Drosophila melanogaster: one gene and its partner. The protein of the gene in region 2 purifies or fractionates together with the protein of the main gene of each other region. This does not show direct contact. Each region holds a gene or a part of one and is shown on either strand. Other genes may lie near its edges.

Region 1 (3,687 bases), on a different chromosome or scaffold from region 2:
CCGAATAGTATGTACTCAACTACGTGCTTGCAGACCAGGTTAAAATATTTCAAACATTTAACACCCGAGCTTAATAGAAATCTAGATAAATATCTCGTCACAACTTTCTGATCAAAGGTCAGAAGGTAGCTAACTTAAAGTAAAGTAGCTGATAGATCGCAACAATGTAAAAATCAAGCAAATAACTGTGAAATCGTTCCTATTCAAGGTCACGTACAGCAACAACCTGGTGGCCAAGGATGGAGTGGAGCTAACGCCCACCCAGGTTAAGGATCAGCCAGTCGTGGAGTGGGACGCGCAGCCCGGGGAGTTCTACACGCTCATTATGACGGATCCCGATGCCCCCAGCCGAGCGGAGCCCAAGTTCCGCGAGTTCAAGCACTGGATTCTGGCCAACATCGCCGGCAACGACTTGGCAAGTGGTGAGCCCATCGCCGAGTACATTGGCTCCGGCCCGCCCCAGGGCACGGGTCTGCATCGCTACGTCTTCCTGCTGTACAAGCAGTCCGGCAAACTTGAGTTCGACGAGGAGCGCGTGAGCAAGAGATCCCGCAAGGATCGCCCCAAATTCAGTGCCGCCAAGTTTGCCATCAATCACGAGTTGGGCAATCCCATTGCTGGAACTTTCTACCAAGCCCAGTACGACGACTATGTTCCAAAACTGCACAAGCAACTTTCGGAGAATTGATTCCGTTTTAATCTTAAACAGATACTTTAGGAAAAATCGATTAAAAGATGTTAATCAAAATATAAGAAATTGCGATTACGGATTGTACTTTCGTTATACAAATTTATAATGGGATATGTTACTGGGATGGGATATTTTCCGTCGTAAATTATAGCTCACACTTTTAATTAATGGCACATTTTGGTCCACAGAACTTATTTGGTTGATTTACGGATTTATTAACTGAAGTTGATGGATATTGGTTGCTGTACGCTATCGCTATGGTAGACTACTTGCCGGCCGCCGTGGCCAGGGGATTCCTTAGGACCAGGATGACAGAATCGCCTCGCAGGAACATCTTCGATATGAACCGATCCTTGTTCACGGGCTTCACCTTCTTCTTGCCCTTACCGGTCCGCGGCAGCTCCGTCCACATCTCCTTCACGTTTTCCAGTACCATGTTGCAGTGCCGATCGAAGGCCTTTACCCTGCCCAGCAGCTTCTTGTTGTTGCGGCAGTTGATGAGCACCTGGGTGTTGTTCTTCACGGACTGCGTGAGCACGGACAGCGGGCCGGTGTTAAACTCCTCCTCCTCCTGCCGCGCCAGCTCCTCCGGGGTCAGCTCCGATTTCGGTTTCACAAGAGCCCTGCAGAGAACACAGTACATTAGTATTTCACCCACAACTCGAGCGTGGTGCTAACAATGCAAAATGCCGGCGCACATGCCGCTGCCAGTTACGCCATTTCCGATGGTTTGTCCCATCTGCCCCGGGATACTTACATAGCGGATTATAACTATGGCTTGTTAAATGATGTTGATAGTCTTCTTGTTTCGCTTCTCAGTTGGTTTTCTGCGTTTATTGTTGGCAAAAGTATTCAGCGCGGCTTCGTTTTTTTTGCAGTGTTACCAGCTCTGAGGACGTTTGCACTCGACCAGCCCTGAATTTCAAAGCTAACTATCGGCGTTTGGCATTCGCGTAAATTAAATAAACTATTATTTTGAAAAATCAAGCTCAATTTGAGTTTTTTATTAAAAAACTTATTAAAATATTCAATGTAAGAAGTGTAAACATATTTAAGACCATAGTTAAAACATTTTTGTGAAAAGTTGGTAATAGTGTTATCTAGTGTGCCAGCCTTGGTCACACTGCCTGGCACGAGTTCCGAATTGGGAGGAATTTATTTTGAAAATAAAAGTAACGAATGGAACCTGTGAAAGAGACGATGACCACTGTCAAGGCGGAGAAGCCGGTAACCACCACTTGCTCCTACTGGGTGTTACGCAAAAAGCGCCGCTGCAAGATGACTGCAAACAAGGGCAGTGAGTTTTGTGGAGCCCATGCCTCATCGGCAGCCACCACTGCAACTTGCGATGAAAAAGCTAGAGAAGATTCCTTCCAGGAACGTATTCCCTGCCCGCTTGATCACAAACATACCGTGTTTAAAAGAAAACTAGCCAAACACTTGACCATTTGCAATGCCAGGGATCAGGAAAGTTCACTGCCCTACATTGTAAAAGGAGTGAATTCTGGAGACAATCTTAAGGAAACAGACGAAGATTTGAACAAATTCAATCAAATAAAACTGCACGAACTGGCGGATGAAGAGTTCTACAGTCTGATCGACAAAGTTAAGAATCTGTATGACAAGCACATCAATTCCAGCATACAGGAACTGCAGCTGGAGCACGAATCCCTAAAGGAGGAACTTAGTCGCAAGGACTACGGCCAGGAAACGCTACGCCAGCTCACCCAGACCACTAGCTTGCTGGGCATCCTGGAACACGATCACCAGTTGATGGATCACACGAGCTATATAGAATTCGGAGCCGGAAAGGGACAATTGGCCTACTTTTTGGCCACCGTATTGCAGGAACAGAAGTTGAGTCACTCACAGGTGGTCCTCATCGATCGAATGTCCCTGCGGCACAAGAAGGACAACAAGTTGGCCAACAGGGAGGTGGTGCAACGTATCCGTGCTGATATCGCTGATCTTAAGCTTTCTGCTCTGCCGGAGCTAAAGAAAACCCAACGAACGGTGGCTTTTTCGAAGCACCTCTGTGGAGCAGCTACAGACTTGACCCTGAGATGTATACTCGGTGATGGAAATGCCAGCTCGGACTACGTTCTCATCGCCCTGTGTTGTCATCATCGCTGCTCCTGGCGCTCCTACGTGGGACGCAAGTTTCTTCAGGAAGCTGGAATTGGACCACGGGAGTTCGTTATCCTAACCAAAATGGTCAGTTGGGCAGTTTGTGGCACGGGCTTAAGCCGAGAGCGGCGTAAGGCCATGGAATCGGCTGACTTTCAGCTCACCGAGACGAACACGCAGCGTCTAACTCGCCAGGAGCGCGAACAAATTGGCCAACAGTGCAAGCGGGTTCTGGATTATGGACGACTGGAGCATCTACGATCCCACGGATATCAAGCAGAACTTAAGTTCTATGTTCCCAGGGATGTGACTTTGGAAAACGTGGTTCTGCTGGCCAGACCGACCAGCCCTAAGCTGGACCAAAATAAATGCTGTTGACTTAAGTAAAATGACTTTTCTCCTTCCTTAATTCATATCCTGCTCCTGGATTTAAATTTTTCATTATTTACTAAAAACTAGTGACGATCGCACCATCGCCATAAAAATGTTCTGATGTCATCTTTTGTGACGAAAAATATTTAACTAGGAAAATGCAATGTCATATTTTTATTTCGCTTTATTAAAATATTTATTAGCTAGGAAGACATTTTTATTGAAGCGGTCCGCATAGGTAATTTTTTTTAGTTGTAGAATTAATGTTTTTTATATCGAGCTATTTTGCACAATTTAAATGGTGTCATTACCATAAAATGTTCATGCAAAATTTATATATTGTTACAAAAAAGAGTTACGGAAATGTTGACAAATGACATAGCTTATTTTGAACTTATCTTTTACTATTTATTACATTTAAATTTACCAACATGAACAATATTTTGGAGAATCGGATTATTAGAAACCTATTTGAATTTAACTAAGCGTTTGTTAAA
Region 2 (2,982 bases):
GTCGGACATGGGAGGCAGCGCCATCGATGGGCCTGCAGTTGGCCGAATTTATTCAAATCAGTTGGATTCCGCGTGGGGTAGCGTATAGGTGTCGTCGTCTGCTTGGTGATCTTGGTGTCAATTGCAATGTGCAAATACGTATTAATTGCTGCACTGGCCGTAATGGTAAGTGGTCAATTAAAGCAACCATCCAGCCACCATAATCAGCCCATTAACATTGCCCTTGGCTGAACACAGTGCTCCTCGGTGCGAGTCCAAGCCACGCTGCACGATCTGCCCGGGGTCTTTGACTTCTCCAATGTGGATCTGGTGAACTTCCAGTACTTCAAGAACCTGGCATCGCAGGATCCGCGCACCGCCGCCACCGCCAATCCACTGCTGGTGCATTTTCAGAAGAAGAAGGCGGTGCTGGACTATCTGGACCGCCTGTTCTTCGGCAACTCTCCGTTCCAGCAGCCCAGCGAGATCCCCTTCGATCCGCATTTCGGTCGCTCCTGGCGTCCGGTCTACGAGCGAAAGTTTGGCTATCGCGGAGAGCGCCTAATCGCTGCCCTGGGATCGGGGTATTCGGTGCCACAACTGCGCCACTTTGGCGCCATTCCCCGCGAGTATGGCACACCGCACTATCCCAGTTGAGTGGGGATTGCAATTTAGCGCCTCTAGATAGTGTATTTATGGAATAAACTTAAGAAACGAAGCAACGAGGTCTAATGTATCGGGGGTATATCAAGAACTACTGGAATTGGTTTGTATACAGGATGATGAGAAGTTGGTTCAGCTTTAATATTGAAGTATGAAACACTTGTGTTGTCGCAGGTTCCCTCTGAAGGAAACAGAGGAATCAGAGTTCTCTAACTACGAACTTCATGGTGCCATGCCAGTTGAGACCCTCCTGTATTCAGACCCTCCGCTTCTGCGTGGAAATGTAGAGGACATTGTTGCCGCGGATGAAGGCGTCGCCGTACTTGTTCTTCAGCTGCCCATTCACGTACTCCTCCGTCTGCTCCAGGCAGATGTTCATGTAGCCATCCAGACAGGCCAGCACACCTGGAATTTGGTCAGTGGATTGGGAAAATTGTCAAATGTGATGAGTGTGTTTGGGAACTCATTGAACGCACCTCGATAGTCAACGCCGTTGTTCAGCTTTACGGCGACGGGGCGTCCGTGTATCTGATTGATGAACTGCGACAGGGCCTCTTTGCGGGACATTTTCAATAGATGATTTCAAAATAAATGCAGTTTACAAAACCTTTTGGCAGCAATAATAAATAACAAATGTGAATACAGTTGTTATTTTATGCCGGCAATGCTGCGGTCACACTGCAGGTTTGGTAAGGTTGCAACACAACATTTCGATGTGACCATTGCATTCGCTTCACCAAGAGCGCCATCTATTGTTCAAGTTGAGAGGAATTCAAAAACACTTTTTGGGGTAATAAAGAAAGTTTAATTTAAATAATAGAATACATAAATTACGGACTACATTGCATCTAATCGATATTTAGGACTAGTGAATGCCCTCCAAGGGCGTGTAGGTCTTGTATTGGTACAATTCCGGTCCGCCGTAGCCGTAGAGAAGTTTTCCGCGCCCGTGTTCATCGTAGTAGGGATAACGGTACTTGGGCCTGAAATATATTGTTATATAAATTCAATTTAATATAGTTTAAATTGACAATTGCATACCTTTCGAAGTACTGGAAGTTCGGTGCTTTTGGCTGCACTGTAGCAAAAGTTGTGTGCGCCACAAAGGCCACAATAAACAAAATTAGCTGGAAAGTAAAGAAAGTGGTTAATAAACATTAAATATTGGTTTGTTAAAAAGTCAATTGGGTAAAGTTAAAAATTCAATTTTTGTCATTTTTCTAAGCTCCATCTATTGGCGTGAAATTAATATTAGAAATAGTTCTCATAATGTTAGGATTCAAACTTATCGTAATTTATTTGAGTAAATTTATTTGAAGTTAAGAAGTAAATTATTATTATTAACCAAATGATTTAAAAATTTTAGATATCCAATCTAATTTTATTACGATTGCAGCAATTAAAAGCAGGGTCGTGCTGTAAGTAAAAGTACGATTTTAATTCGTTTTCTAACAAAAAACCACATCTATGTGAAAGCTAATTGAATTGGCTAAACTAGATTTAGGGGGAAGTTAGATATCACATTTATGCTCAATGGCTCACTGTGTCAGCTGCACGAAAGTGGTAATAAATGCGAGTGCGACGACGGCCAAGAAATCGCTTTCAGGCTTTTGAGTCAACTTGAAAGCAACGGTTTGTTGACGCCGGTTATGCAATTACACCAACAATAAAAGCCACGATGCGCAACTTGGCCACAACTCGTTGCCCGGAGATTATGACACATTTCGCTTGGCGTTCAATTTGGCCAAAAGAGAGCGCGGAAGAGAGCCAGATCGTGTCATTCAAGGTCTCCCCATTCCCATGGCCAGAGAGAGCCTTCGAATTTGGCCCACATATGATTCGAAAATGTGTCAATTGTCTGGCCGCCAAAAAGGAGAAACGAAAAAACTAAAAACAAATGGATTTTGAAAGAAGAACTGACGCGGGCTCATTGGAAATTCAAGTCACTATTTCCGAGCAATGCAGACGGTTTTCTTTTTGGGTGCGACTTTCGCGCAGAAAAGGCGGAAATTGTGTCAGTGGACTTGTGGGCTCCCCCCACAAGGTGTTAATTTGGCAGGTACACTCTAGAAACCAAATTTAACTATCTGAAACTTACGGGCAGCAGCAGGGCACTCAATTTAGCCATGGTTTTTTCGGATATTGTAGTGCTCAATCACTGGTGTAACGGTAAAGCTAAAGCTGCGAGCGAGCGGTACGAGGTTGTTAGCCGATCGCGTTTTGTTTGGCAACTGAATTGCATTGCCAGGCGAGCTACCAAAAGCCGCGCTCCACAAAGAGCGCGAAAAAAGCTTGGAAGAGAGCGGGAGCTTCCAAGCTTGGCTTAAAAAGTTGGGCTAA

The links.
Region 1: the proteins of CG9344 (region 2) and SmD2 purify together in Drosophila melanogaster (affinity purification with mass spectrometry, with the first as the bait; one large-scale study listed by BioGRID). This does not show direct contact.

The regions. Positions count from the first base shown.
Region 1 is NT_033777.3:6,344,323-6,348,009, forward strand, and holds SmD2 (small ribonucleoprotein particle protein SmD2), read right to left. Parts: upstream 1,590-3,687; 5' UTR 1,451-1,589; coding exon 1,449-1,450; intron 1,315-1,448; coding exon 957-1,314; 3' UTR 689-956; downstream 1-688. Other genes in the region: CG17919 (uncharacterized protein), read left to right, coding at 209-688; CG18048 (uncharacterized protein), read left to right, coding at 1,871-3,196.
Region 2 is NT_033778.4:20,975,382-20,978,363, reverse strand, and holds CG9344 (uncharacterized protein), read right to left. Parts: upstream 1,309-2,982; 5' UTR 1,210-1,308; coding exon 1,119-1,209; intron 1,048-1,118; coding exon 899-1,047; 3' UTR 764-898; downstream 1-763. Other genes in the region: CG15650 (uncharacterized protein), read left to right, coding at 127-165, 238-636; CG34115 (uncharacterized protein), read right to left, coding at 1,508-1,625, 1,684-1,769, 2,741-2,770.